4 linked regions of the Elephas maximus indicus genome follow. The protein of the gene in region 3 binds, or shares a complex with, the protein of the main gene of each other region. Links are inferred from orthologs where the notes say so. Each region holds a gene or a part of one and is shown on either strand. Other genes may lie near its edges. The genes, in order: BUD13, RNF113A, SRRM2 and DHX16.

Region 1 (8,201 bases), on a different chromosome or scaffold from region 3:
TTTTTGTCCATCTGGATCTATTCATCCTTCAAAACTCAGTTCACATATTTACTGATTTCACGAACTCTTCCAACTAACACTAAGTGTGCCACTTGGTGGGTATGTGAAATTTATCTCCTACATTCACCACACGTTGAAATTATTTAAAATTCAGTCTCTCAAACTGGAACCCACATCCATTGCTGGGGGGGGAATATAAAATGGTACAGCCACTGTGCAAAACAGTTTGATGGTTCCTCAAAAGGTTTAACATAGAACTACCATATGACCCAGTAATCTCAATCCCATGTATATACCCAAAAGAAAACAGAACACAAACAGAAACCTGTACACCAATGTGCACTGCAGCACTTTTCACAAGAGCCAAAAAGTGAAAACAATCGGACTGTCCACCAACAGAGGAATGGATAAACAAGATGTGGTACACACATACAATGGAATATTACTCAGCCATAAAAAGAAATAAAGTCCTAATACACATCACAATAATGGATAAACCTTGAAAACATTAGGCTGAGCAAAATAAGTCAGCAACAAAAGGACAAATACTGTATGATCTCACTAACATGAAATAAGCATATATATAGAAACCAAAATTAGTGGTTACCAAAGGTGGAAGGGAGAGGAAAAGGGGGAATTTTTGCTTAAGGGCACTAAGCTTATCTTTATGGTGGTAAAATAATTCGGAAAAAGATAGTGATGAGGGTTGTATAACAAAAAGAGTCAACGTCACTGAATTATGCCTGTATAAACTGTTGAACTGGCCAATGTTTTTTGTACGTATTTTCACCACAATAAAAAAAAAATCAGTCTCCCCTTCTAGGGTATGCTCTCTAAAGTACAGATACTATATTCCATTAATCTACATATCTCCAGTACTTAGGCAAGTTTATACAATTTTAAAGCTTAGTTAAATCAATGAATGTTGCTGCTATTGTTAGTTGCTGTCAAGTCGTTTCTGACTCATGGGTGCAAATAAAAAGTTCTCTATAACTGAACTCGAACATTGTTCAGAAGCTGGATTCCCACAAACTGAACTGTTGCTAATTCTAGTTATTGTTCTATCACTGATGCTGAGGAAGTCCTGCCTTGCTCTGTGACTGGTTCCCATTTCTAGGCTAATGGGTCCCTGGATAAACAGAGAAGTCAGTGTAGAGGCATATGTCAAAGAAGACTATTTTAAACAGCTCTTTGGAAAATGGCATCTCTTCTCTGCCCTCAAATTTCCCTCATACAAATCTGTCCTGCACTGGGAGTACAGACTGGGAGGTTTACATCATTTCCAAGTTCCGACAGCCCCAAAAGATATATACCACAGGCAAATCTCCATCATCTTCCTCTTCCTCCTTCTCTGGTTTAGTGGTGGAGATAGCTGTCCAACTCACATCATCATCCACAATCCGCATTCTAAATGTGAAAAACAAAAGATAAAAGAAGAAAAATCATTCTTGGATAACAGCCTAAGAGCACTTATCCATCTGGTTTTAGGAATAAAGTTCAAAATCCTACACATTCCTGCGTGATCCGGCCTTTGCCTAGGTGGTCAACGTCATCTTATACTGCTGCCCTCTCAGTTCACTACCTCACGAGCACCTGAAACGAGGCAAATTTCTTACCACATCAACTTTCACATACCAGTTCCCTCTGCCTGACCTGCTCTTCTCCTCATTCTTTACCAGAAACCTCTTACTCATTCTTCAGGTCCCAACATAAATTTAACTCCCTTAGGCATACCCTCCTTGATTGGTCCTCTCCCCTAAGTCTAAGAACCCCCGTTACACACACTCAGAATACTTTCACTGCATTTACCACAAAGGAATCAATTTATTGTGTAAACAGTTGTTTAAGGCCTGTATCTCCAATAAACTGTAAGCTCCATCAGAACAGGCACTACGTCTTTCTTGTTCATAGAGGCCTTGTCGACACCCTGCAGTAACTGGCATGTGACGTATTCAATAAGTGTGTGTTACAGGGATGAACTATAGATGACAGGAAATAACATTAACTGCCATCACATGAATAGCTATTATTTGAAAAGTCAGGGATATTTTATAAATCATCTCTAATCACAACAACATAGTACCTGGGAGGTACTAACAGTTAATGTGCTCAGCTGTTAACAAAAGGCTGGAAGTCTGAGTGGCCAGAGTCTACCCAGATGTGCCTTGGAAGAAAGGCCTGGTGATCTGCTTCTGAAAAATCAGCCACTGAAAACCTTAGAGAGCACAGTCCTACTATGACACATGGGCTTGCAATGAATAGGAATCAACTCCGTGGCAGCTGATTTTTTTAAATCACAAAAACCATTTAATACAAGCAGTATTATTTACTATTATTCTCATTTTCAAGATGGGAAAACTGAGATTCAGAGAGATTAAATATCTTGCCCAAGGCCACACAGCCTATAAAGTGGCAGAGGTAAAATTCAAACTCTGAACAATGTTGCCCCAAAGCTAAGCTATTTCACTACATCGCACTGCCTCCAAAGAATCCACCCGAGAGAAAGGGACCCAAAAACACAGAAAGCAAAAAAAAACAGAATCAAACCAGGAAAGGCAATAGATTAGTTCCTTGGAACCCTTTGACACCGCTGGGCTACAAAAGTTTCCTTGTTTGTAAAACTGTGATAATAACAATAACGACTCCGTGGTAGTGTTGTGAAGCTTAAGTTCATGTATGTGTAAAGTACCTAGAACGGTGCCTGACATACGGCAAGAAGTGTGTACGTGCCAGTCGCTGTTGGGGGCATTAGCAGCAGTAGTGACCAGGGCTCTCCGACTCAGGATCACGAAGCCTTTGGGACTTTTGAGAACCCCACGGGCAAGTTCAGGACCCTAAATCCGAGCACCAAGGCACTGAATTAGCTCCACCCCCATTCTCAGAGCACGATATTCATTAACTCCGGAGGGGTCGGAAGGCTACCAAAGCGGGAAAAGAGTCATGGAAGTCACAGCCCAGTTTAAACAACCGAAGACGCTGCTCAGCAGCGCGAAGGGTAAAGGCGGGCAGCCACAGCGGGCCCAGGCCCCGGCGCCCCGAGTCGCGCGCCCTGAGCTTAGGCAGCGGGCGGACGAGCGGGCGGAGCGGAGGACCCAGGCCGGCGAGGAGAGCAGGCAGAGCCCCGGCCGGCGGCGCAGAGACCAAGGCTGAGGGCCGCCACAGGCCCGCCCCCGCGGTACCCACTCACCCCTTGCCGCCGGCCCCTCCGGGCTTCGCCCGCTTTTTGCGACGCTTGCGACCGGACTCGGGGCCCCCGTCGACGCCGGCATCTGCCCCAGACAAGTACCGCTTCAGATACTCGGCCTTGGAGAGCGGCGGAGCTGCCGCCATGGCAGCGGCGCGGGCGGGGAGACGGCTCGCCCCTGGGGTCAAACTTAGGGAACGCGGAACGGACGGCAGTGACGGGAGGGGCGTGGCCAGACCCGGAACTGGCGGAGCGTCGGAGCACCGGCGGGGAGACCTCCCGGGTGACGCGTTCGTGGACCAACCGGAAGTGCAGGCACGTCTAGGGCCCGTTGTGCGTACTTGTGAGGACGTTACCTTATTGTGTGTCCATCCGTTCATTCACCAAACTTTGCAGTAAGCGCCGTTCTAGCCTTGAGGCTACAATCACGACCCAACGAGATATCTGCCTCCAGCAGCTTCAAAGCACCATATACGTAGTGGTTAGCATAGGCTGTGGAGTTACAGGGTATTTAAGTTTGAATCCTGGCTCCGTAACTTCCTAGTTGTAAAACCTGGGCAAGTTATTTAACAAAATGGGGACAATAATAGTACTTAATCAGGATGATTGCGAGATCTGAGATGACGTTACTGTGTAACGTGCTTAGAACAGTGTCTGGCGCAGTTACCGATAGTTATTTTTATTAGCAGTGTAAGTATCTTTAGGTGGGGAGAAGTTTAACAAGCTTCCAGGTACATTCAAGAGGGGAGATCAAGAACTTCAGACCCAGTATGTTGTTAGTCAGGCCGCTTCCAACTCATGGTGACCCCACGTGTAGCAGAGTAGAACTGCTCCATAGGGTTTTCAAAGCTGAAAGCAGCCAGATTGCCAGGGCTGTCTTCCGAGATGCCTCTGGGTGGGTCCAAACTGCCAATCTTTCCACAAGCAGCCTAGCATTGAACTGTTTGTGCCACCCAGGAACTCCTAGACCCAGTATAATTCCTGTGAAAAATACGGAGGTTTCTAAAATCTGTGTAACTTCTGCACATCCAGTTTCATTGGTTGCACCTATCTACCTCTTGAAGGAAATTGTGTAAATCTTTCCATTGAAAAAAGACCTGGACCTGCTTTCAGCACAGCCAAAGAGTAAAGCCTGTGAGATCAAATTCTAATACTCAAGTCTTGGGGGGAGAAGACAAGAGTACTTGAATTATCTCATTTAAACCCTCACAACTATTCTCGGTTTATCATCCTTATTTTACAGATGAGGAGATGGAAGCTTGGAGAAGATAAGGGAAGTTGCCCGTTATCACACAGCAAAAAGGTGGCAAAGACAGGATTCAAGCTCAAGCCACAGGACTCTTGGGAGCAGAGGTTAGGGAAGTGCAGTAAAAAACGTGATCCAAACTTTTTGAAATAAAATATTAGACTGGATATTTTCTTTTTATAAGGTAAATTTTGTCGGTTTTAGTCAAGTAGGCATTGTCATACTTTATAACTAAATACACATACACTGCGATACATGCTCAAAAACTCGTTTATGTTGTTGTTAGTTGCCGAGTCAACTCTGACTCGTGGTGACCTTAGGTATAACAGACAAAACATTGCCCAGTCCTGCGCCATCTTCGTGAACATTGACTTGAGTCCATTGTTTCAACTATCGTCAATCCATCTCATTAAGGTTTCCCTTATTTACCAAACATGATGTCCTTTTGTAGTGATTGATCTTTCCTGATGATATGTCCAAAGCAAGCAAGCCAAAGTTGTGCCATCCTTGCATCTAAAGAGCATTCTCGTATTTCTTGAAGACCACTGCTCTGAAGAATGAACTTCTAAGCACTGGGCTATAATCTGAGTGGCTGCCACACCAGCCCAGAAAAGAAAGCAGGCTGGGTCCCTGAGGGGTTATGAGGAGACATTGAGAAACTAGGGCATCACTAGCTAGAGGTTTCTACAGGTCCCCCATATGCAATGCTGCCTTGGCTTAAAGTCCAATTTGTTAGTCTCAAACTGCCTCCACCTTGATGACAACAGGCATTTGGAAAGGCTCACATTTCCAATCTAGTCGATATTACCAGTATGCCCTTCTGGGCCCTGCCAACCCATCTCCTGACCATTTCTGGCTTCTTCAGTTCTGTCCCTACCCATTCTACCCAATCCTCAACCTTGGCTTGACAAGACCCAACCTCAATGGATCCCAACCCTGTCTGCTTCACAGGGCAATTAGGCAGGACCAAGAAAATGCATGTCTGGTGGCATGGTCTGAGCTTTGCCCTCTCTCTACAGTTGCATTGAATAAGGCAATAATAATTATTATTATTATTATTATTTTTATGGACATGAGCTCAAAATATTGAGAGCTCAAGTTGCACAGTCAGATTGGCCTGGATTTGAAGCCTGCCTCTTAACTATACTTCATTTTGGAAGTTATCTAAGCTCTCTGAAGCTGTTTCCTCACCTGTAAAGTGGGGATAATTTTGTTTATTTATAGCTATTTCCCAAAAAGGACTTAAAGCAAAAATGGAGACACTTCAGAATTTTTTAAGGATTGATGAGAGAAAATACAAATAAAAGGCACTTCACAATTATTAACTCAGCTAATTCCCAAAAGCCCCTACAAAAAAAGGTACCATTATTTTTATCCCCATTTTACAGACCAGGAAACCAAAGCAGCAGAGGTGCCCATACTAGTGGACTTTCTAAACTCTAAAGTAAATATGCAGACTAAGTAGCACTGCCTCGTTCTTTTATGGTTAAAAATGCTGCCATTTTTCTGTAAAGGGTGGGGAGAAGTGTGCAGATTTTTTAAAAAATAAGAAGCAGCCAATAAATTCATAGAGTCAGGAACTGTGGTTGCCAGGTACTGGGGGAGGGAGGAATCAGGAGTTACCGTTTAATGAGTATAACATTTCCATTTGGGGTGATGAAAAGGTTCTGGAAACAGTGAATGTTCTTAATGCCACTGAATTGTACACTTAAAAATGGTTAAAATGGTATATTTTGTTGTGTATTTTACTATAACAACAAAGAATGAAGTCAAGCAGTCTTAAACACCACTGCCCTAAATATAAGCAGACATGGTATTCCCTGCAATGTGCAATAGGCAGCTGACATACCACGGGTGTATGAAGACAGAAACATACTGACAGTGTCGTAACAACAGAAGTCTTCCTCACCCCACCAGTGAAGCTTTCAGTTAGCGAGGTCATTGCCCTTCATACTAATTCCCAGCACTCACCACATCTCCACCACTTACTCCATTACGACGACACAGGTACACATTCAGGACCTACCTGTATGTTCACAGGTCTGATGACCAAATATAAAATATAGCTGTATTTAACATGTATGAAATATGGTAAAGTAGATAGAATGCCCTCAAAATAAACTCTTCTTTTTTTTAATATAATCACAAAACTTCCCATGTAAGTTTTACTCTCATGGTTGTGAAATTAAATCTCCACGTTCTTAGGCCGGCAGCTTGACTCTCTCACCTCCCCTGGCCTTAGAGCAGAGCCCTTGTTACCTCCATGTGCCCAAAGGGCTGGATCCAGGATGAAGGATTCACAAACATCAGCCAAGGATTATGACAGATCATCTGTATGCCATATGCTAGGGAATGTGGGGCAAGACAAAGTTAAGCAGATGTAGGCTTCCATCTCGGGCAGGCTGTATGAAACGTGACTGAAAGAGTTCAGGGACACTTTAAAAGTGTGAAAATGAAAGATGCCAGGCCTTTGTCCTATCAAAGAGCAAGGAGTACCTTAGCTGGGTTATCCCAGTCTGGAACCTGGTCATGTCTTGCAGGATATCATTTCCCAGTAACTGGGGGACTGCCTCATGCCAACCAAACTCAGAAGACTGACAAACCAGAATGCCATTTGTTTTCCCTTCACAGTGGAAGATGAAGCTGACACTGGGGCTCGTCTTCACAGAGCACATCCACCCGCGCCACAGGGCATTCACCAGATGATAGACCCAAACGGTGTCTGGTAAAGTCAGGTTCCCTGGTCAGCTGAAAACACATCTACAGGCAGTCTCTTAAAGTAGAATACTTGCACGTGAGAAATCTCATCAAGGTATTATAGTTTATAGTTGCAAGAGCGAGTCATTCGCTAACCTTAGTCTCCAAATTCATAAAAAAAAAAAAAAAAAAAAAAACCTTGTATTCAGGCATGGGGGTCAGTCCTACATGGAAGTAATAAATGCCAAAGAATCCAATACAGGCAGGTTTCTGAAAACAGAACCTTTAGAAACAAATACATTTCAGGAAGAGGGAGGAGGCAGAGATTCCAGATAAGGCATGATCGAAGTGAAAAGGAAACCAGAGGCACATTACTATCACAGGAACCAAGGGAAAGGTTGAGAGAAGAGAGGGTCCACTGTCAGATGTGGAGAATAAAGGGTGAGAATATTTTCCAAGTGGAAAACCACTTGTAAGCTTTGGGAATAGTTTAATAGAGCAGTGAGACTGGTTGTGATTGCCAAGCCATCCATAACTAGGCAAGTCTTTGTAGCACAAACCTTAAGGTTTGAGGTAGCATCTCAATCAACTAATAGGTCTTTAATGAACAAATTACCCTGCAGCCAGCACCAAGGGCATCACCATTTGTGAGACTGCCTGGAGTTAATAGGAACCTGGAAGCTACAGTCAGAGAACACTGGCCGAACAGTAGCCAGGGAGTCTAGAGCCCTGGGCTAGAGTGCTCACTGGGCTGTTAACTTCCAACACAGCTATAGACAGCCCTCTCCCTCCCTGGCCGAACCTGAGTTTCCCCATTTGTAACTGAGAGAGTAGGACCAGATGATCTCAGATATCCCCACTGGCTCCAGCATGCTCCAACCTCATACCTTTGCAATCTCCTATGCCTGGAAATCTCTTTCCCCAGCTATCCACATGGCCTACTCCTTTGCCTCCTCCGCTTTGGCCAAATGTCAAATTATCACTTTCTTGTTGAGATTTTCTCTAATTGAAAACTATCTGAAATCACACATACACAACACTTTTCCTGGCAGCACCCACAGCCGTTCCCAGCTT
Region 2 (7,729 bases), on a different chromosome or scaffold from region 3:
CCTCAGAAGAACGGCCTGGTGATCTGCTTGTAAAAAATCAGCCAGTGAAAACGCTATGGAATGCAGCTCTACTCTGACACACGTGGGGTCGCTACGAGTCAGAATCAACTCCACAGCAACCAGTGTTTTTGTTTTAGGTTTTCTTCACTTAATTACGCAAAAATTAAGATGGATAATATCTAATGTTGGTGAGGATGTGAGGAAGCAGGTATTCTCATATTTGGTTGCTGGAAGTAGAATTTGATACAATCCTTCTGAACGGCAAGTTGGCAGTATCATCAGCATTCAAAAGGCACTTCATTTTGTCCAACCATTCCACTCCTAGGAATCAGTCCTACAAAAATACCCATACACTTATTCCACGCACTGCCCTGGGTCCCCAGTCAGGCAGGCCTCCCACTCCGCAAGGGTCGTCTCCTTTCTGGATACTGTCACATGCCCAGCTCTGTACTCCTCAGGTAAAGAAAGGTTCCTGCCTGATACCAGACTGCTCAGAGGAAAATCAGAAAATAAAACCTATAGGCAAATATCAATGAATCACAGATTATTCCGCCTAGAGAAGAGAAGGCTAAGGAAGAACTCCAGAGCAGCATGGCTGCAGATGTTCTTCAGTTCCACGGAGGACCAAACAAGTGAGGAAGGCAGTGATGGTGGGTAAACGCTTAACAACTGGCTCTCCCGGGGAAAAAAAATGTGCCTACGTGTGTGTATTTGTTATAAATGTTACTGAAATAAAGGATGTATAGGATACAGCATACAAATACTAAGAGATAATATTCTCCATTTTAAGTCCCATGTAGCTAACTGATTTTCACAGAATGCTTTCCTTGGTTTTTGCCAAACTTTTCTATCTGTTGCTAACTCATGATTGCAATCCATCTATGAATTGACAAGTGCAGTTGTATTCCAAGCTGCTCTTTTCCCAATTAACTCACTGTCATTAAAAAAAAAAAGAATGTGCCTAAAGAAGGCATGTGCTAGAATTTTTGCTGCAACATTATTTGATCAAAAAATAAAATAAAAAAGGAACTACCCCGAGTATTCTTCCACCAGTGGAAGAATAAGCTGATTACCTGTGGGACTTCTGCATCAGATACCTAGGAGGCACAACTTCTGTCAGGGACAAAAAGGCACCATCATTTCTCTTCGTGATCAGCTACAGTCGATGTTAAATATCATTTGAGATGATTCTTTAGGATACGGTGTTTTACACCACAGTAAAAAGAACATAGACTAGCCATTTCTCAACCTTGGCACTACTGACATTTTAGACCAAATGGTTCTCTGTTGTGGGTGCCTAGCCTACGCATTATAGGGATGTTTCACAGCATCTCTGGTCTCCACCCATTAGATGCCAGTAGCACCCCCCCCAAGTTGTATGAAAAACATCTCCAGACATTGCCAAATGTCACCTTGCAGGCAAAATCGCCGCTGGTTGAGAACCACTGATATAGACCTATATGTACCAATGAGGGAAGATCTCATCTCCAAGATGTCCTATTAGATAATACTAAAAGAATAATATGCACAGGATGATCCCATTTTTAAAAAACTGTATGTATAGATAACATGCATAGGTACAGGAATACACAGGGAAAAAAAGCCTAGAATAATACACAACAAAATGAAAATAATGCTACCTCAGGAGAAAGGAGAAGGATTGCATGGGTAGCTATGCATGTTGGGGTGGGGGAGAAAAGGGGCCTTTGTTTTTTACTGTTTGTATTCTCAAAATTTTTATACAATGCATTCATAAATTACTTACGTAATTTTACAAAAAGAAGTTAAATGAACTCGGACAAGTACTCTGTAGACAGTAGGGCACTAAACAAATCTAAGCTCTCATATCAGTTGACTAAAGAGATTTAGACAGGTGCTTGATTGTACTTGGCTCATGATTTCATCCACAGACAAGCACCTATGATGCATGAATTCTGTTAGGGATTAAAGCAACACTATCATTTCTCCTTACGATCAACTACAAAAAAATAAATAATTTTCTATGTTAAATACAATGTTAGGTGATTCTTTAGGATAAGGTACTTCTTCCACTGTAATTTAGAAAGTACTATCAATTTTTTTATCAATTAGTCTTTATTTCTATTCAAAAATCTCAAGAAGCAACGCGAGGCTCAGCTAATGTAAAATTAAAGTGACTTGACCATCAAGTCCAAAACTCCAGACTGAAACAACTCACCAAATTCCATCTTCTCCCCTCTCTATCAGCACTACATCTTCACTTTTATTCCCCACAGTATCTTAGGGCTTATTTCCTTCACTTCCATCTTAAGCCTATTGCAACTTTGTGTTTTGGCTTGGTTTTTATACACATACCCTTTGATCTAGTGTAAAACACATTTGCCCAGATATCAATCTGCATTTCCCCCAGATTATGGCTTCTAATCAGACTTTTATATTTCCATAAAAGATACTATGGTTGGATTTTGGGGGTGCCAACAGTTTTGTACTCTAGATATTCAAATGGAAAGAAACTGCTGTCAACTTGTAACAGTAAAATGACGGTAAACGTACTGTTTCAAGGAATTTCAGAGTACAGTATTTACAGATTTTAAGACCTACATTACATTATCTAAGTATCAATGAATTCGAGTCCATAATTTCCAATGCCCCTAAGCCAAATAAACCTTAAAAAAAAAAAAAAGACAACTCAGAAGTTAACCAGAAGAGAAGGAAACATTTATTAAGCTTATAATGCTGAGTTCCTCACACAGGGAACAAATACTGTCATACCACAAAAACTCTATCAGGTAGTGTTTAACAGTTTTGTCATACAACTGAGGCAACAGAGGGTTAGAGAGACCAAAAAGACCTAAGTAGGGCAGAAATTCAAATCCAAGTTTGTCCAACTCTAAAGCTGGAGTATTTCCCACTTGGATACACAAACTAGTCCTCTTAATTGATCCTCTTTTCTTTCACTAATATATACCACGGTCACTTGAATTATATTTTTAAAATCAAATTTACAATGTTTAAAAATGTACAGATTTATACAAAAGAACAGTCATCAAAAACTCACCCACAAATCTTTTTTTAAAAATATTGACTAACCACTCTGTTGGTCAATTGCTCCCCGTCTCCTGGATTACATAAGCCAGTAAAATCTCAAAAACAATTTGGGAACTGACAACAGCATTACCAGTTTTTTATTCTGACAAATGAGGCAATGAAAAAACTAACTACAAACTGGACAAGTAGTACAGTGTAGGGACTAAGGACATGGGCTGTGGCTCAAATCTCAGCTCCCACCATTTCCTTACCAGCTTATGACCCAGGGGGAGGTATTACCAGAACCCACCTCAACCCTGACATGTGGTTGGCATCATGGTCATCTTACCTTTGATACGTAGGAAGAATCCACCCCAGAGACCCGCCTATCTCTTTGCATCAAATGCCACTGATATGGAAAATGGGCAACCCTTTTCTCCTACAAATAAAAAACAATTATTATTGCACTGTATAAAGATGGATGACCCAATTGCTGAATATCAGAACTTTAAAAAAGCATCATTGTAGAAAAAAAGGAACAATCACTGAAATAGAAACCAAATTAACAAGACCAGAATCTCCTAAATAAAAATCAGACCACTAAACTTTACAATTAAAATGGTCAACATGACTTCTTACACCTTTCTATTTTAACCAGCCTCACTTTCTTTATTTCTGTCCCCCTTTTTTTGGAGGATAGTTTACTTGTTATCTTTTAGGACACCAGAGAACAAAAACAATAGTGGTGGGTAACACGTGAAGGGCAATCAAAACCCAGAACATAATTTTATACCATTACTGTATTCTAGGGATGATGTGAACGGCTAGGAAGAGGGAAAAATTAAAACCTGATGAGAAAAATAGGGTCTTGGGGTAAATTCCTAAAGGCTTGCAAGAGAAAATAGGGAATTAAGAAAATGTCAACGGAATAACCTAATTAAGAGCAGAGAAACGTGGATACGAGAAATTAAAATCAAACCCGAGCAAGAAAAAATACTGATTAGAGGTCGAGGGGAGTAGAGACAAGACTAATCTTTCTCTTGCTTTGGACCCACCTCTTCTCATCTCCTAATCCCTACTCTGCCTTTTTGCCCACTCTCCTCAGAACAGCAACTAGCTGTTTCTTGCTAGAATAGGATGCGGTTTCCGTCGGACTTCATTCCGCAAGCATCCATTTTCAGTCATCACTAAAAAAAGAGGTGGGCGGACCTTGGTATCCCCCACCTGAGAGAGAAGCACCGGAGCCTAAGGGCCTCCCTGACCCGCCAGTGCAGTGTCGACCCCAAGACTGGGGGAGCTGTCTTACCTTTTTCCTGGCACTGAACCTGTGGATGTACGCAGTGGTCACTCCGGGGATTAACAAACACGCCGCCATGACAGCGATGCCAGGGAGAATCTCGAACCACATCTTGGCAGAACCTCCTTCTAGATCACTTAAAGGTGACCCGGCTTCGGCTTCCTTCCCGGTAAGCTCCGCGGCGCTCCACGAGTGCGGTGCGTCACGCCTTCTCCGGAGGAAGCGACGGGGTCCGGTAGGGCTCAAGAGTGCGCGATCACGCCCTCGCGCTCAAGGGTTTTAGCAGTGTTTTCTGTGGCGTCTTCCTCCGGCCCACAGGAGAGCGCAGGTCGTGCGGTGACTTGACGGGGCCCGCGCTTTCCCACACGCCGGAGCCGTTTGGGAGCTCAGTACTCCAAAATGGCAGAGCAACTTTCTCCAGGAAAGACGGGAGACCAGGTGTGCACCTTCCTCTTCAAAAAGCCGGGACGAAAAGGTGCTACAGGCCGCAGAAAGCGCCCTGTCTGCAACCGAGATCCCGGAGAAAGCAGCAGCAGCAGCAGTGAAGAAGGCAGCACTGTGGTTCGCCCGGAAAAGAAGAGAACGATCCACAATCCGATGGTACAGAAGACGCGTAGCAGCGGTAAACAAAAGGTGGCTTACGGCGACTTGAGTAGCGAGGAGGAGAATGAGCCCGAGAGTGTTGGCGTGGTCTACAAGTCCACCCGCTCAGCGAAACCCGTGGGGCCAGAGGATATGGGTGCAACCGCTGTCTATGAGCTAGACACAGAGAAAGAGCGTGACGCACAAGCCATCTTTGAGCGCAGCCAGAAGATCCAGGAGGAGCTGAGGGGCAAGGAAGATGACAAGATCTATCGGGGAATCAACAATTATCAGAAATACATGAAGCCCAAGGATACGTCTATGGGCAATGCCTCCTCGGGGATGGTCAGGAAGGGCCCCATCCGAGCTCCCGAGCATCTACGTGCCACGGTGCGCTGGGATTACCAGCCCGACATTTGTAAGGACTACAAAGAGACTGGCTTCTGCGGCTTCGGAGATAGCTGCAAGTTCCTCCATGATCGTTCAGATTACAAGCATGGGTGGCAGATCGAACGTGAGCTCGATGAGGGTCGCTATGGTGTCTATGAGGATGAAAACTATGAAGTGGGAAGCGATGACGAGGAAATACCATTCAAGTGTTTCATCTGTCGCCAGACCTTCCAAAACCCAGTCGTCACCAAGTGCAGGCATTATTTCTGCGAGAGCTGTGCACTGCAGCACTTCCGCACCACCCCACGTTGCTATGTCTGTGACCAGCAGACCAATGGCGTCTTCAATCCAGCGAAAGAAGTGATTGCCAAACTGGAGAGGAATCGAGCTGCTGGAGAGGGTGGTGCTTCCGATTTCCCAGAAGACCCCAATGAGGATCCAATTCCCATTATTTAAGTGTCTCATAATTCTCAGATCTCAGAATAAATGTTTTGTTGTTTTGGAAATCTTGTGTCCTGACTTTCTAGGGAAGGTGACTGAGAGGAAAAGGCAGGTAGTGAAGTAGGGTCCTAAATGACTTAAAGCGTCAAGGTAGGTACAACCTGGATTTTTAGTCCTGGGATAAACACTTTACTTGTGTGTAGCATATACTTTTCAGAACTCTTTGGCATAAATTATGGGGATGGGATTTTGAAGTTTGAGAAAAGAGCTAGAACTTGTTTGAAGTAACCAAGGCTGTGATGGGAGCAAGAACTGGACCTATTTATTGTATCATATTTCTGTATCACTTAATAGTTTGCTAAGTATGTTCACATACCTTTGTTGGGAGCCCTGAGGGCCTGTACTCATACTGACTTCAAAATGCACCAGAGCCAACATATGTGATTGGGGGGTGGCAGGAAGAATGGGGTTGGGGGACTGGTAGCTAGCACCACAGGGTGCATGTATGGTAAGTGGTCCTTGTTCTTTCTGAAGCATCTATAGGTAACTCCCCCACTCTTTCACAGATGATAGAAATAGTCTATGCTGTGCTGTCCAATATGATAGCCACTAGCCACATGTGGCTCTTGAGCACTTGAAATGTGGCTCATGGCCAAGTACTGGATATCACAGTTCTAGATTGAACTTGTGAACCTGCAGAAGGCAAAAACCTAATATTTTATAACTCATTATCTGAAATTATCCATGTTCTCAGAGACTATAACAGAGCTGGTCACGTCCCAATATAGTTAGTCTATGTACTCTTCACAACTACTTTGTGAACTCCTTCAGTGACTAGCCCAGTGCTTATTAAAATAAGCTCAGAGAGGTTTGAAAAGGGAGACTGGGAACAAAGCCTTGAATGCCAAGGTAAAGAGCTTCGACTGTATTTCTGTAGATAATGGGGAAACAGAGGATTGGGGACGGGAATACAGACTTTTTAAAAATATTTATTGTGGTTGCAAGCAGAGCCCTGGTGGTGCAGTGGTTAAAAGCTCAGATGCTAACCAAAAAGGTCAGCAGTTCGAATCTACCAGCTGCTCCTTGAAAACCCTATGGAGCAGTTCTACTCTGTCCTATTGGGTAGCTATGAGTCGAAATCGACTTGATGGCAATGAGTATGGGTGGCTGCAAGCTATAGGATGGATTGCAGGAAGATGGAAGACAAGCAAGAAGGCCAGTTAGGCCAAATCATTAGCACATGGTTATCGATCTAACTAGAACTTGGGTATCCCAGGAAACATGCAAGAATACGTTGTGGGGTAGAGTGTCTTTTATTCACATTCATTAATCCATTTAAAGATATTCTTTGAGCAGCTGCTGTGCCAAGAACTGTGCTTGGCATAGGGGATATTAGCAGCTTCTGCCCTCATGAAGCTGGACATTAAACAATGACAAGTGTGATGAGTATCACAAAAGAGTGCACTGGGCTGATGTCCCAGGATTAACCCAATCCCTATTTTAGAGGACTTCAGAAACAAACTCACTTGAGACAGTGTGACACATTCTATAAGAATATACAAAGTAAGATGGGAATACCTGAGAAATTGCCTACTGGGAAAAGTGTTTAAGAAAGCCTCATAGGCGGCAGTGGTAGTTCAATGGCAGAATTCTTGCCTTCCACGTGGGAGACCTGTGTTCGATTCCCAGCCAATGCACCTCATGTACGGCTACCACCTGTCTGTCAGTGAAGGCTTGTGTGTTGCTATGATGCTGAACAGGTGTCAGCGGAGCTTCTAGACTTAAGAGAGACTAGGAAGAAAGGCCTGGCAATCTACTGAAAACCAGCCAATGAAAACCCTATGGATCCAGAGCTGATTATTGTAATTGCTGTCAATAAGCTGTATACCTGTAAAAAGTTGAATTGTGAAAAGCTGTGTCATATTTACAATGACAAAAAAAGAGTAGCTGTGAGACTGTTCATGTACAACCAAAAACTTCATGGGATTTGGTTCCTTGGTGTAGGGTCATGGT
Region 3 (8,298 bases):
CCTTCTGGTCTCCTAATCAGGTCTCGCTTTTTCGTCCTTCCCGCACTGCTCACATTCCACCAAATCACAGACCAGCTCTCATAGGCTTTCCCCCAGTGTTCTTACACAGAATTCTGAATCATTCCTGCTTGCACCTACATTTTTGTCTTTTTCCACCCTAGACCAACAAGAATCGTACTTCTCTCACATCTCTCCGCTGTCGTCCCTTCATCCTGCTTTGGTTCCAATACACACAAATAGCATCTTCCTAACCTCTGGTAACTGACTGAGGCCTCCAAATAGGGCATGACCAACACCAGACACAGATCTGTAGCATCCTAGGGCCTGTAGTCCAAGTCTCTTCCAAGATACAACCTGAGGCTTTGAGGCCACCGTACATATACAAAATGGACTAAAGGGCCCATACTCATCTGAGCAAGTGGCCTGACTGGTTAAGAGAAACAAGCGTCCTGTACAGCCTTTCACTCAGAATGAAGGCCAGCAAGCACATCAGAAACCACATGAACTTTAGATACATAATGCTCTAATACTTCACCTCCCAGATAAGAGGCCACTTCCTTGATTCTAAATATTCATAGCTCCTCTCCACTGTCCTGATTGATATTTTCTTCCCTTAATTTCCTTCTCAATAAGATTTCTCATTTGATTGGTAATTCTCTCCAAATCTTACTAAAAAACCAGTCGACTCTAGCTCCCATTAAATACTACCTGTTTTCAATTCAAATTCTATTTAAATATATCAAACTAGTCACTGTTAAAACTACTCTCACAGCTTCTCTACCCTATTTGCCCTAAACCCACCAATATTCTCTACACTTCACTTTCAGTCATACTAACCCGTCCTTGGCTTTCACTACCGATACCCTAAATGTCACTTTCTGGTTATTCTCTTATAAGCCTCACCTTACCCTTTCTCCTGTTACTCCTATGCCTCCCACCCCACGCATGACCCTAAAGAGCGCCAGGCCCCCATTTTTCTACTCAGATTTCTTAGCCACACATATTCCTGTCTCCTGCTGTATGTTACACTCTTCGTTCCTTTCTCTCGCCCATCCTCGCCAAGACAGTTTTACAAAGCATAAATGTGTGAGGGCAAACTATCACAGGAAAAGACCCAAGGCTCAGGCAAAGAAGACACATTAGGCAGAGGTGAGGAAAAGCAAATGAAATAATCAGATAAAAAAAGTTACACTTAAACTTCAAAACAAAGGATTATCACATGAATAACTAGAAAATGCACTAAAGTGGTAAGAGAAAAAAGGAGGAAAGATGCTGAAAAGAACGGAGATTCCAGAATGACCACTCAACCCAAGCAGCAGACCCAAAAGAATGAAGGAGGAAAAAAAGGAACTATACCAGGTTAAAGGAGGAACAGGTGAGGTCATTATCTAGGGAAAGCAAATGCAAATGCACAAAAAGATTAAACAAAAAAAACTTCCTTTACAGCACAGAAAATAGATGTTCTGCCTTCCAATCTTTATTTCTATTTTCTTAAATACCAATCCTTCCCACTCTCCACACCTAAGTCCTTCTTTCCTCTATGGCCTGCCTAAAATCTGCTGCTCCCTTAGAGAATGCTTCTGACCTGAAATTCTTCAGTTAACCATTCAGGCACACTTCCATACCACCTCACACAAAAATCCGCCCACTCCCTAGCAGCTGCTAAGTTGATAAGGGTATTACGGCACAACGAATTACAGAACTTTTAGGGGAGGAGCCAAAAAAGAAAAACCCAATACCATGGCATCCAAGGCAGCGCTCAAAACACTAAAAGGAAAGCAGCCATGCAAAGGGGAATATCAACCACACACATACAAACCACCACGCCACTTTATAAAACACAGATTCTTATAACTAGGTCCATAAATTGTGGATATGCAAAATGTACCCAAGGTACAGGCACTAAGTAAAAGCGAGCTGCAAAAACAGGAGAATTTTTTTCTGTGGGAAAATTATCGGGGTGCCAAATAAAAGAGGCAGAGGAAAAAACTAAAATTCAGTACAGGCACTCAAGAAGAGAAAATGCACCAAGAAGAGAGGCAGAATGCCCAAGAAAATGCAAGATACGGACAACACGCTCAGGGCTGGGGCATTACAGTGGCTGAGTGGGCTCGACAGAACACGATTACACAAGGAAAGACCACAGAACAAACTTTTAAATTTCTCGATCCAGAATACAGAGATGTGTGAGTAGTAACTGAGACTCTGTAAAAAAAAGACTCAGAAACGTTGCACCAAACAGTGCTTGAAGCAGAACGCCAGACCTCTCAAACAGATTCCGGCGTTTTCTCCACAACCAAGGACTGGACAGCCTCCCACGCTTTAGCACGAATTTGGAGAAGTGACGGAAAAAAAAAAGTGGAGAAAAAAGGACCACGCGGTGCGCACTCTATAAATCTAAGATCTGAGCTGAATACATGGGCTCTTCTAAAGTACGCCCCCCACCCCAAATACTCCATGGAAAATAGTACCCAGTCCACGCGCTGTGCTTCATGAGGCACTGTTTCCAGGCCCTACTGCGCCGTCTGGGCCGCCGAGGCCTATTTTCGGCCTCCCGGGGTGGGGGAGGGGGCGGCGCAGCGCCCCGCAGTCTAGGAGGAGTGGGATGAACCCGGGCCTCCCGGGGGGTCGGCGGAGCCTACCACCCGAGAGAAAAGCGGGGGAAAAAGACCGGGGGCGGGGGCAAGGACCTGGGGTCAGGCCCTCCGCCACCCAACCACCCGCACCTCAGAAACGCCGACAAGGCCCTCCCGGGCCGCACGCGCGGGCAGCGGCGAGGAACCGAGGAGCGCGCGCGCCCGCCGCGACCGGAGCGCGCGAGCACGAGGGCGGTCAGCGGCGCGCGCCGTTACCATGGGGGAAGAGCGGGGAGTCGAAGCCCGCGCGCAACAGGAGCCGCAGGAGGGGGGAGGGGAAGCAGGCAGGCTAAGACGTCCACACAAGCCGGGGGTGCCGAGAGCGCGTGCGCGAGGCGGCCTGGGCCGTTCTCCGCGCGCTTTGGCCTCGCGCCGCGGCCGCCCCTCCCCCACCCAGCTCACGCGCTCCCTCACCCTCTCACCCGCCGCCGCCGCCGCCGCCGCCGCCGCCTGCCTTTTCTGATCGGGAGAGGTCCCGCCGCTGCCGCTGCTCGAGCTCCCGAGTCCCCTGAGGCCCGGAGCCGCCGCTGCCGCCGCCACGCCTCGCTGGTCTGCCCGCCTCAGCCGATGCTGACGTCTCCTCGCTTACTCGGGCCGCAGCGGGCTCCAACTGCGCCACTGGTACCCCGCCTGGGCCGCGCTGCACGCGCTGCACGTCAGCACGACTCGCTCAGCGCGTCATCACGCAATCGCGCGCGTCGCAGGGCCCTCCGGGAACCGTAGTATGCCCCACGGCCTTGTGCGCTTGTGCCCAAATGCCACTGGGAAGTGTAGTTTCTTAAGGCCCCAGAGAGATTCAACCTTGAGGCCGAAAAACTGCGAGTTCCATCGGCCAGTGCGAGGAAGGCTGGAGACGTGTCCGTAGGCCTTCCACGGTTGGGAGGGTTGGGGGGCGGGGGCAATAATACAGAGCCTAGGGCCACAGCGACCGGCGGCCTTCGGCCGGGAGCATTCTGGGAGTTGTAGTTCCGGCGTGCCACAGAACCCGTATGTGGCTTGGCCTCGGAGCACGGCCGCCATTTTATGTTCCTATGTTAGGGGTGATGGTCGGAGCGCAGCGACTCTGATTCTTGCTTGTAACTATGGGCTGCAGACCCCAACCTTTTGCAGTTTTGAGAAGCTGCCTCAGACGCCAGCAGACAGGAGGAGACCCTGGGGAATAATCTTCTGTTGCCTCCCAGCTAGGGTGACCAGGCAGGGATGCAATTTTCTCATACTGAATCTGGGATGTTTTATATGTGAATGTGTACACACATAAGGCAGAAGTCCACAGGCTTCAGAAAATTCAAATGCTTTAAACAGCTTGCTTGGCCTGCCCCGTAAAAATCCTGGTGATGGAAAGGGCCACATGAACCAGCGACTACATCATCCTGAAACCAGGAGAACTAGATGGTGCCCGGCTACAACCGATGACTGCCCTGACGGGGAACACAACAGAGAACCCCTGAGGGAGTAGGATAGCAGTGGGATGCAGACCCCAAATTCTCATAAGACCAGACTTAGTGGTCTGACTGAGGCTGGAAGGACCCCGGTGGTCACTGCACCCAGACCTTCTGTTGCCCCAGGACAGGAACCATTCCCGAAGCCAACTCTTCAGACATGGATTGGACTGGACAGTGGGTTGGAGAGGGATGCTGGTGAGGAGTGAGCTTCTTGGATCAGGTGGACACTTGAGACTATGTTGGTATTTCCTGCCTGGAGGGGAGATGAGAGGGTGGAGGGGGTTAAAAGCTGGAGAAAAGGACAAGAGAAGAGGGAGTGGAGGGAGAGAGCAGACTGTCTCATTGGGGGAGAGTAATTGGGAGTGTGTAGCAAGGTGTATATGGGTTTTTGTGTGAGAGACTGACTTGATTTGAAAACTTTCATTTAAAGCGCAATAAGAATCATTATAAAAAAAAGTCCTGGTGACGAACTGCGCTTTCGTAGTACGATTAAGAATTGCTGACATAACTTGTATGAACTCCTCACTTGTAAACTCTTTGAAAGTAAACTTTCCCCTTGCCCTCGCTGAGCAGCCATGGCAGCAGCAGCTCTAACTGATGCCTTTCATTTTACAATGAAATAAAGGTTCCTTTCTGCTTTCCCACCTTGGTCTCTCATTTATTGACCAATACGAAAGTCATGCTCAACAGAACCTGGGGTTTCCGCCTGGCAACACACAAAAATGTAAGGAAGACATATAAGAGCCCTTAAGTTTTCCATCTTGCCGCAGAATGTTTCCTGATGATGTTTTTAAGTACATTTTTCTGAGTCTCAGAAGTAGCCAGGCATCCTCAGAACAGAGTTGTAAGAAGCTGAGCTTCTCAGAAAGCCCAAAGTGTAAATCTGACTCCACCACTTGCTGGCCGACCTTGGACTCTATATGTAGCTGTCCTGGTTATGTCTGGTGTCTTTGCATCCTCAACAGGACCTAGCACATAAAACCCAAACCTTTGCCCATGGGCTTGATCCCAACTCATGGCAACCGCACGTGTCACAACTGCTCCATAGAGTTTTCTTGGCTGTAATCTTTATAGAAGCAGATCACCAGGCCTTTCTTCCATGGCACTACTGGGTGGGTTCCAATCGCCAATCTTTTGGTTAGCAGCTGATCAAAAATAATTTGCACCACCCAGGAACCTAACCTAGCTCACTGTTATTAGGTGCCATCGAGTTCTTTCCAACTAGAGTCAGTTCCAACTCAGCAAGCCTGTGTACACAGAATGAAACACTGCCTGGTCCTGTGCCTTCCTCACAATTGTGAGGATTGTGAGGACCTAGCACATAATAGCTGCTTAATAAACTGTTGTCAATTTGAGTTTCAGGACTTACCCTTGATATTATTAAGATTTCTTTTTTTAACTTGCCCACAGAAAGATATACTCATCTCTGACACTAGAACAGGGAGACTTTCCATTTGGTGTACAACCTATAACTTCAGCTTACAGTGTCCAGGGAATTGTTTTAATCTTGCCTCCTTGATTTTGGGCACCTTTGCACGTTGCTTCCGTGAGCTGGACACACTTCTTGGTAAGTATGACCAAGTACCTTTGTCTTTCTGGGCTTGAGCTGGTATTTCTAAGGGTGGAGGTGGATTTTTTTTTTAACCCCTCACCATCCCCAGTGAGATCCTCTTGCCTATAATGGAATTCCCAGTGATATTCGCTATATTTATTGAGTATTTTGTGCTGGGTTCTGTATGTGAATCAGCTCAGTTAATGCTCATAACAGTACAGTGGGGTAGGTGTTATTATCCTTCTCTACAGAGAAAATAATGAATTCCCTTATATATCCACAGTACAATGATCAAAATCAAGAAAATAACCTAGAGGCAGTATTACTATCTAATCTATAGACCTTATTGAGATGTCCTCAATTGTTCTAATAACATCTGCTATAGAAAAAGAAAATCCAAGATCATGCAAGCATTGCATTTAGTTGTTATGTCTCCCAGTCACCATCACTAGCAGTTGCCTTTATGTCAACTCCGACTCACAGCAACTCCGTGTCAAGAGTAGAACTGTGCTCCATAGTTTTCAATGGCCAATTTTTTGGAAGTGGATCTCCAGGCCTTCCTTTTGAGGTACCTCCGGGTGGACTTGAACCTCCAGTCTTTCAGTGAGCAGCTGTGTTAACTGTTTGTACCATCCAGGGACTCCCTTGTTGTTATTAGGTGCTGTGGAGTCGTTTCCGATTCATATCATAGCGACCATAGGTACAACAGAAGGAAACACTGCCTGGTCCTGTGTCACCCTCACAGTCCTTGCTGTGTTTGAGGCCATGTCCCTAGACTCCTTTTAATTTGGAACAGTATGTGCTGCTGCTTTTGTAATTCGAGACACTGCCAGTTTTTGAAGAATACAGGCCATTTGTTTTCTAGAATGCCCCTCAGTTTGCGTTGGTCTGATGTTTCCTCCTGATTAGATTCAGGTTGTGTACTTTGGGCAGGAAGAGCAGAGACGTGAAGCTTCCTTCTTCTCAGTGCATCCTATCAAGAGGCAACTGCTGATGCTAGCTTTGATTATTTGGCTCAGAAGGGGTCAGTCAGGTTTTTCTGCTGTAAAACTGAAAAATAAAAGTATCTAAAAAAACACATCTAGCCCCCGGATACCCTTTTAACTCAGTATTGAAGTCATTCCTGAGGTTCACCCTTCAGCCAAAGATTAGACAGGCCTATAAAACAAACAGTAACACACGTAGTTCAACCATAATGTGAAACTAAATGGCACACCAGCCCAGGGGCAAGGACGAGAAAAGGCAGGAGGGGACAGGAAAGCTGGATGAATGGAAATGGGGAACCCAAGGCCAAGAAGGGGAGAGTGTTGACTCGTCACAGGGTTGGCAACCAATGTCAGAAAACAGTATGTGCATTGTTTAATGAGAAACTAATTTGCCGTATAAACTTTCACCTAAAGCACAATTTAAAAAACAAAAACACACCTATATGAGACCAAAGGCCAACATTTACTGTACAGCAAAGATAAGAAGATAAGGGGGCAGGGAAACTAGAGCACTGGAAATGGAATGACCGGAAAGCAATTAAAGAGAATGTTGACACATTGTGAAAATGTAACCAATGTCACTGAACAATTTGTGTAGAAATTGTCAAATGGGAACCTAATTTGCTGTATAAACTTTCACTGAAAACACAATAAAATATTTTTTTTTAAGTATCTAGTTGTTATGGATTGAATTGTGTCCCCCCAAAGCGTATTTTAAGTTATAACCCCTATAATTTAGATGTAACGCCATTTGGAAATAGGGTTTTCTTTATTATGTTTATGAGGCTGTGTCAGTGTAGGGTGTGTTTTAAGCCAATCAGCTTTGAGATATAAACCTAGCGGATCAGGCACAGAGAAGCAAGCAGAGATGGGGGAAGATAGATGCCACACCATATGAAGATCACCAAGAAACCAAGAAACAGCAGCTGAAAAGAGACAAGAACCTTCCCCCACAGCCAAGAGAGAGAGTCTCTTCCCCTAGAGCCAGTGCCCTGAATATGGACTTCTAGCCTCCTAAACTGTGCAAAAATAAATTTCCATTTGTTAAAGCTACCACGTGTGGTATTCCTCTTATAGCAGAACCAGATAACTAAGTCACTAGAGAATGTATTTAGAAACTGAGATCTGGGCATTTATTGCTATGGGTGTCATTGCTTCTAGACCTTTTGGAGGACAGAACTGGGAAATAGACATAGGGTTTTCTGGCTGCAATCTTTAGGAAGCAGATCACCAGGCTTTTCTTCTGTGGCACTGCAGAGTGGGTTTGAACCACCATGGACCTTGCCTCCCCTATGGTCAGGATTATTTGCCTGTCCCATTGCCTATGAGCTCCTCGAGGGCAAGTCTGCGTCTTTGTCTTGGTCAGTGCCCTGGCACCTAGTGCAGTACCTGGCACTAGGAAGGGGTTCAACATGAAGGGCATGCCCCAGTGTCAGCAGACACATGCTTCCCTGACAGACAATGAAAAACAAATCTCCTTGCTGTTGGGGAGACTCAGAAGCAGGTCCCCACGGTCTCTGCGCAGGCAGGGAGGCTGAGTCTCATCTCGCCATCTCTTCAGATTCTTTGCACATGCATTCTCTGTGCCACCTGAAATCCCAGCATCGTCCTTCTCCTTGTCCGACAGCCTGGGTGGGTGCCCAGCCCTGGATCCAGGGGTGGAGCTTCGCCTGGGCAGACTT
Region 4 (7,288 bases), on a different chromosome or scaffold from region 3:
AGATTCTTTTGAGAAATCTAAGTGTGACCTTATTTGGGAAACTAGGCCCTTGGGAAACTGCCTACCCTACCTAGACTTGCATCATAGAAGTCTGGTTCATGAATTACAAAGGGCTCTGCCCCTGTCCAGTAAGAACACCAACTCAGGAAGCCACAGAGACATCATAAAGCCATGTGGGGGATGCAGGGATTAGGTGGTAGAAAGGTACTTGGAGATGGTGGTCAGGACATCCCTGGGGAGCTGGGACAGTTGCTCTGCCCCTGCCCTCTAGCCACCCGTTGATGACATCGCAGCTGCCTTTTGAGTAAGTCCCGCTAAGTCCCAGGAACAAGGAAGGTTCACATCTCCCTAATACATACTGTGATTTGGTCCTAAAGTAAAGAGTGAAGGAGGGTTTGTGGGTAGCTCTCACCCATGGTTCCTTCCCTCTACAGCTTGATTCCATCCTATGGCCTTCTCCAAGTTCCTCTGTGCTCAGCTGGCTCCTGTCAACCAAATACCATCCTCCAGAGGCCTGGGCATTCCATCATCATCCCCACTGTACTTCTTTTGTATCCTTTCTCCCTCCCCTAATCTCGCCATCAGAAAGTATTTCCTTTTGCCTTCTGATTGGCTTCATGGGCCCTGGGACTCACCATGGCTTTCCGGTCTTCCTCAGCCATCTTGAGGCGCTTTTGAGCCTCTTCATAAGCCTAGGAGAAGAAACCAAGAGGGGAGGGCTGTGAGGGCAAGAAGCCCCCCGACAACCCATCGCCATCCCCCTTTAGAATTGCAAAGGATCATTCTGATGTGCCCCCTCACAGAGAAATATCCCCTCAGTAAGGAATCTCTATGGCTGCAGGTACAGCAGGGAGGTACCTTAGCAGAGAACCCGAAGATGAACATACTGCTAGAGATGATCCCTGTCTTCGTACCATCTCTGGGATCACACCCAACATCAGATTTGACCCAGGGATCTTCTTGGGGATTTACAGAACATTCTGGCTCCTATGCACCTTCTTGTCTGACCGCTCTAGGACATTGCGAGTCCGATCCTTGTCCCGCTGCCGAACGCGCTCAGCAAAGGCATCACGTTCCTCCAGGTCCTGAAGGCGCTCGCGCTCTGTCCGCTCCCATTCATCCTCTGACTCTGGCTTCTCCGTCTGCTGTTTACTCCCCCTGCAGCCCGGCCCAGGAGATTAAGTAAGGGCATCCACAGGGCTTATAGTCCCATCATCCACCTGCCCCATCCCCTCTCATCTTGCTTCTAACTTACCCCGTCTTTCTCTTTTCTTTCTCAGAGATCACTTCCTCCTCTTCTTCCTCGTCCTCCTGGCATTTCTTCCTGAGGTGTTTCCGTTTTTTACGCTTCTTCTGGAGGCTGCTCCCAGCCCTACCCACAGTCTCCTCACTGCTATCCTCACTGTCTTCCAGCAACTTATAAGATCGGTTCTTTTCCAGCAGGGCTCGGGCCTCTCGCTCAGCTGCCCGAGCTGGCTTTTCTACCACTGCCTTCCGTGGTACCTGTCAGGAGAGGGGAAGGTAATGGGGTGCGAGCAACTCCTGACCTCTGCCCACTTACTTAGCCCTGTGCCTAAGTTAATTTCCCTTTGAGGAATTACTCGCTCTTAAACCAACCTTTGCCCCCTCTCTTCCCCATGGCTTCACATCATGTTCCTTAGCCTTAATAGGACCCTCCAACTTTTGAACGTCCTCTCATTCATTTGGCAAACATTTATTAAGCCTGTTATGTTTCAGGTACTTTTCTAGGGACTACAGACAAGGAATAAACAAAAAAGATAAAAATTCCTGCCCTTGTGGAGCTTACATTTTCAGGCCAATTCTCAATTGCTCAGCCTCTTTCTCCTGGCTTTGTTCTTCCCAGTGATTGGGTCATTCCTACAAAAAAGGCTGACAAGCTACAAGGGTTGTTTTGCAGAGGCTTGTCACATGCCCCGAACTGTATCAAACTCCAAGGATAAACTGGTGAAAAGAAAGTCTTGTCCACATGGCACGTACATAACCTCATCTCTCGCCATGCAGCATATACCACAGCCACACCAGGCTATCTGCCATTCTCTGAATATGCTGAACACTTTCACTCTTTCTACAAGGCAGGAACTTAGGTGGTAGGAATACAAAGACAAGAAGTACACAGTCCTGTGCTCCAGGAGCTCACTATTTATACCACTACTCCTTCCCCCTTCTCTACCTGACAAATTCTAGGGGCTCTTGGGACCTGCCTTCTCTGGTCACTAATTCCTCTTCTCCATCCACAGCACTTCCCACAAATCTCTTCTATGGCCTCCCACTCAAAGTGTGGTCAGTGGACCAGCAGCATCCGCATCGCCTGGGAGCATATTAGAAATTGCAGAAACTGAGACCCACCCCAGACCTCCTGAATCGGAATCTGCGTTTTAAACAAGGGGCCTAGATGAATCGTAAGCACGTTCAAGTTTAACACACTGTTCTATAGCACTTAACGCAGCCTAAAAGTAACATACTTAAAGCCTTCTCCTCGATCTTCTCCACTGAGCTGGACGCCCAGCACCTAGCACAGTACCTGGGTGACAACGGACAACGGATACACACCTGGCGAACTGACGTTACTTAACTGCGGGACAGACATTTAGGCCAGCCTCACCAGGACCTACGTAGGGCTCCTCCCCTGCTCCACCCCTACTCCTACCGCTCCCACGCCAGGCACCGCCCCAGTCGCGCTCCACCTCTCCCGACACCTTGTTCCAGAGTCTCAGGGCGAAATCCCGGGCCGGGCCACTGAGGTCCAAGGTGTCGGTGTCTCGCAGACGCTGCACGAACTCCTCGGCCGAAGCGCAGCGCTGAGCGGTGCCGATCAGGAACTGGGCTACGTGCCGCTCGCTGAGCCCCAGTACCGAGTGCAGCTCGTCTTGCACCCAGCGCTCCAGCCCGGCCGGCGTCGCCATGGCAACCTACGGTCACCACTCCCAGCCTTGAAGCGTCCGGACGAGCCGAGCTGGGGCCAGTCTGCTTAGAGGCCTGGACCCCCGAGCCGGACCCTAAACTCCGCAAAGGAGCCCACTTACGGCCTCCGGGTTCAGTTTCCAACAAACCCAGTCCGTCTTCCCGGACCCCGAAAGCCGGAAGCGGACGCGCTTTTCCGGCCTGAGCACTACGGTGGCCGAACAAGTTCAAGCGTCGCGTTACCGTACGAGAAGCTCGGAGTAAAGCACTTCCTCCCCCCATTTCCTCCTCTACCCAATCGTGCTATCGCCCCCTGCTGGTCAGCTCGTGGGTGCTTCACTCATTCATTCAACAAATACTGAGTTTTTTTATTTGTGGTTAAGTATGGTGGCCTAGTGCTGTGGCTGCTAGCCAAAGGGTCGGCAGTTCCAATCGCCAGGCGCTCCTTGGAAACTCTATCGGGCAGTTCTACTCTGTCCTATAGGGTCGCTATGAGTTGGAATCGACTCGACGGCAGTGGGTTTAGTGGTTAAGTACTATGGCTGCTAATCAAAAGTTTGGCAGTTCGAATCCACCAGGCGCTCCTTGGAAGCTGTGTGGGGCAGCTCTACCCTGTCCTGTAGGGTCTCTATGAGTCGGAATCGACCCCACGGCAGTGGTTTTTTTTGGGGGGTTAAAGTGTCAGTCGGAATAGACTCCACAGCAACTGGTTTTAATTGTTTAAAGTGCTCTGCAGTTAACCAAAAGATCGGCGGTTCAAACCCACCAGCCACTCTGCAGAAGAAAGTTGTGGCAGCTGGCTTCCTAGAGATTTACAGCCTTGGAAATCCCATGGGACAGTTCTACTCTGTCCTATAGGGTCGCTATGAGTCAGAATCAACTCCACGGCCATGAATTTGGTGGGGTTTTGTTTGTTTGTTTGAGGTAGTTCTAGTTGCAGAAGGGAAACCCTAGTGCCATAGTGGTTAAGAGCTATGGCTGCTAACCAAAAGGTTGACAGTTCGAATCCACCAGGCACTCCTTGGAAACCCTTTGGGGCAGTTCTGTTTTGTCCTATAGGGTCGCAATGAGTTGGAATCCACTCCACTGCAGCGGGTTTTTTTTTTTTTTTTTAGTTGCAGAAGATACAGCAGAGAACAAATCAGACAAAAATTCGTTACCGAATTTACATTTGAGGATGCGGGCAGACAAGATAGGTAATATGTAAAATAGGTAAGTTCTATGGAACCAAAAATAAAGCAAGTAAGGGGGAGAGGAGTTATATTTCAAATAGGAAATTCAGGCCCATGCTTCTGAAAGATTAGCCAGTGATGAGAAGGGACCTTTGCTAGGACCCGTACCTGCAGCAGGAGTGAACACAGGTTAGGTATAAGGAGGGACCTCCAGACAGAAGAAACTTGGGAACTGGGGGGAAAAGCAAAGATGTTCTCTTTTCTTGATGCTCAGAAAGTTGTTGGGGCGGGGGGTGGGAATCCAAACTAAGGAATGAGCAAACTCTGCACTTTTGGTAATAGCTTGAGTAATTCACTGATGGTTGCTTATTTGAAAGCAAACTTGTTACCTGAAGCTCTGCTGGCTCACCTGTTTGACCCTCCTTCATACTCTTGTGGTTGATTGGACTTATCAGACACTACTGTTGGAAAATGAAACGTTGTTATTCCATTAAAAGGCACAGGGGGATCCATATCATTGACTTCTTGGATGCCTTGTTTTCTGTTTCAGAGGTGGACTGAGAGCACCACCCCTGGTATCTTAGAGCTTCCTGCCCCAGCTTTTCTAGGTCACAACTGGTTAGAATCTTTACTGAATTTGCTACTGATAAAAGAATTGTTCCCCTCCATACCCACACCCTCTCTGAACTGCTCACTCTTTTGTTACCTTGCTTGTCATATATGCTTAAGATTAATTTGTCTAATACATTTTGTTTTTTAACAAAGGGGGGTCTCCTCTGGTTAGACTGGATGAGGCATCCTGTGTAGTGGTAAAAGGACTATAACTACTCAACTATGCCTTTACTAGCCTGAAGAGCTAATAAATAACTTCATAGGTAAAATGTTTCCTGCGTGGTATAAAGCAGTTAACGTGGTTGGCTGCTAACTGAAAGGTTGGTGGTTCAAGTCCACCCAGAGGTATCTCAGAAGAGAAGATTTGGCAATCTACTTCTGAAAAAAAAAAAAAAATCAGCCATTGAAAAACCTATGGAGCACTGTTCTACTCTGACACACATGGAGTCACAATGAGTCAGAATCAACTTCATGGCAACTGAAAAAATAGGTAAACTATAGCAGATGTTACACATAGAAGATAGATTCTTTGAAATAAGAAAATCCCCTAATGTCAACTATGGGTACCAAAGCCATGAATTATGGTGGTTCTTAACCCTTTAGAATATAAAATCTGTTGCCTATCAGAGGAGACCCTCTTCCAGGAACTTGACCTTCTGTAGATAGTCACTAAATTTTGCAGCAGTTTCAGAGGACTGACTGTTGATGGCCCCAAACCTTAGACTAAAAAAAGCTCCTGCAGTAGCCACATGAGTTGTGTCACACATTACAGTTGCTTGCATGGCAGCCAGCATCTGGATATTGCAATCCTTTAATTCAGTGTCCTGTGCTTCAGATTTATTTTTTATAGCTCCTTTCATGAATTCATCTGTTCAGTCATTCTAGAAGTAATTATGTGCTTATTAGGTGCCAGATGTGGAGACACCACAGTGAACCCAACTGACATAGTCTGCCCTCATGATACTTCTAGTCTACTGAACACCTCAACTGTCCTTCCTCACATCTGCTTGTCCTGCACGTGAAACCCATGCAAGGCTCTCCTAAAGCCCCTTCTATACTCAGTGCTGAGTTCCTGGTTCATCCTCCATTATTCTTCCTTCCCACAGCCACAGCCCCTTCCTCTTCACTGCCAATGGGAAGATGAGAGAGGCTTGGAAATGAGGAACCCGAAGCCTTTCCTCCACATACACTTTTTCTTTTTTTCTAAAGAAAGAGAAGCAACACGAGAGTCGGAGAAAGCTCCATTTTATTACGGAAAGTTAAAAAACAAAACCACATTCATAAAGAAGGAAAGGCAGGTGCCTCCTTAGTCACCCCACACTCTTACAATTCAATTGTGAACCACTAGGAGGAACAGAATTAAATAACTATCTGGGAGTACAAAGTCAAGATTCCCAGCCTTCCCTCTTGGGGAAAACTGAGGCACAGTAATACTGAGCAAAAGTGGGAGGAGCCACGCCCCAGGCGACTCCCAATGAGGCAACTGAAGGAGGGGGGAGAGGAAATCCACGTGGACTCGGCAAGTGGGCGTGGCTTGTAAACGTGGGGTTTTGGCAGCATGGGGCTGGGAGTTGGTGGGGTTTGTAAACCAGGCTGTGGTCAAGAGAGGAGGCAGGAGCTGTAAACACAAGGGTGGTGATCTAGGGATCGGAGTGAAGGCCAGGCCTCCCAGGGACATAGATGAGTGCTTAAATCCTGAGAGTACCTGGTGGGGAGGGGAGCTAAGGAAGGCTGTAGGGACAGTGTCTGTGCCCATGGAAATGGGGGGTCCTCCATCTTCACACACACCCCCAGTGGGCTCTGTGCACCTGTCCAGGGCTTGGGACTCACTCTTGGATCACCTAGATGCACCAGCACGTTTGACACACCAGGGACCTTGGGTTAGGGTTGAAGTTGAGCAGTTGTCTCTGCCCCCATAAACAGGACGAGAAAAGCAAGCTGGGGGATGTTGGTTGTTCTTCCCTGCCACGCTCATTTTCAGGGTCTGTCTGCCCAAGATCTTCTAGGCTCCAGGATCTTCAGTTCTGGGAAGGAGGGCAATATATCTTCCCTGTGTGGGGGAGGGTCACCTCCGGCAGGACTCATCTGTACAAGAGGCAATAATGATAGAGAATGAGTGAGGGCCTTTGCCTCCTGCCCTCCTTGCCCCAAGTTAAAGGGCAGTTGGCATATAGGAAATCAAATCCTATAACCTCTTCCTCGTCTTGAGTGCTTGTTACTACCAGTAACAGCAACCATCAATCATTTACCTTGTACTGCATTCTGTTCTAGGCACTCTTATGTTATTAGGTGCGGTCAAGTCATTTTAGACTCATAGCGACCCCATGTGACAGAACAGAACTGCCTCGTCAGGTTTTCTATGCTATAATCTTTATCGGGGCAGATTGCCAGATCTTTCTCTGGTAGAGCTGCTATAGGGGGTCGAACCGACAACTTTTCAGTTGGCAGCCAAGTGCTTAGCCATTTGCGTCACCGGGGCTCCTTCAGGCACTCACATAATCCTTAATTCCACAGTAACACCGGGAGAAGTGAAATAAAATAATTTTGTATCCAGCCATGGTTCTGCGTGCTTCACAAAAATC

The links.
Region 1: SRRM2 (region 3) and BUD13 share a complex: the UniProt entries of both Homo sapiens proteins name them as parts of the minor spliceosome. The link is inferred for Elephas maximus indicus from reciprocal best matches to the Homo sapiens genes SRRM2 and BUD13.
Region 2: SRRM2 (region 3) and RNF113A share a complex: the UniProt entries of both Homo sapiens proteins name them as parts of the minor spliceosome. The link is inferred for Elephas maximus indicus from reciprocal best matches to the Homo sapiens genes SRRM2 and RNF113A.
Region 4: SRRM2 (region 3) and DHX16 share a complex: the UniProt entries of both Homo sapiens proteins name them as parts of the minor spliceosome. The link is inferred for Elephas maximus indicus from reciprocal best matches to the Homo sapiens genes SRRM2 and DHX16.

What each region holds. Positions count from the first base shown.
Region 1 is NC_064835.1:9,018,569-9,026,769, forward strand, and holds the start of BUD13 (BUD13 homolog), read right to left. Parts: upstream 3,403-8,201; 5' UTR 3,331-3,402; coding exon 3,188-3,330; intron 1,408-3,187; coding exon 1,314-1,407; intron 1-1,313. UniProt on the Homo sapiens protein: Involved in pre-mRNA splicing as component of the activated spliceosome. As a component of the minor spliceosome, involved in the splicing of U12-type introns in pre-mRNAs.
Region 2 is NC_064846.1:37,014,711-37,022,439, forward strand, and holds the start of RNF113A (E3 ubiquitin-protein ligase RNF113A), read left to right. Parts: upstream 1-4,566; 5' UTR 4,567-4,702; coding exon 4,703-5,731; 3' UTR 5,732-7,729. Other genes in the region: NDUFA1 (NADH dehydrogenase [ubiquinone] 1 alpha subcomplex subunit 1), read right to left, coding at 3,356-3,445, 4,313-4,414. UniProt on the Homo sapiens protein: Required for pre-mRNA splicing as component of the spliceosome. As a component of the minor spliceosome, involved in the splicing of U12-type introns in pre-mRNAs. E3 ubiquitin-protein ligase that catalyzes the transfer of ubiquitin onto target proteins.
Region 3 is NC_064830.1:59,942,975-59,951,272, forward strand, and holds the start of SRRM2 (serine/arginine repetitive matrix protein 2), read right to left. Parts: upstream 3,174-8,298; 5' UTR 3,091-3,173; intron 1-3,090. UniProt on the Homo sapiens protein: Required for pre-mRNA splicing as component of the spliceosome. As a component of the minor spliceosome, involved in the splicing of U12-type introns in pre-mRNAs.
Region 4 is NC_064819.1:90,992,466-90,999,753, forward strand, and holds the start of DHX16 (pre-mRNA-splicing factor ATP-dependent RNA helicase DHX16), read right to left. Parts: upstream 3,112-7,288; 5' UTR 2,925-3,111; coding exon 2,718-2,924; intron 1,504-2,717; coding exon 1,256-1,503; intron 1,159-1,255; coding exon 996-1,158; intron 985-995; exon of another isoform or gene 886-984; coding exon of another isoform or gene 859-885; exon of another isoform or gene 758-858; coding exon of another isoform or gene 693-757; coding exon 636-692; intron 486-635; coding exon of another isoform or gene 413-485; intron 1-412. Other genes in the region: PPP1R18 (phostensin), read right to left, coding at 6,772-6,791. UniProt on the Homo sapiens protein: Required for pre-mRNA splicing as a component of the spliceosome. Contributes to pre-mRNA splicing after spliceosome formation and prior to the first transesterification reaction.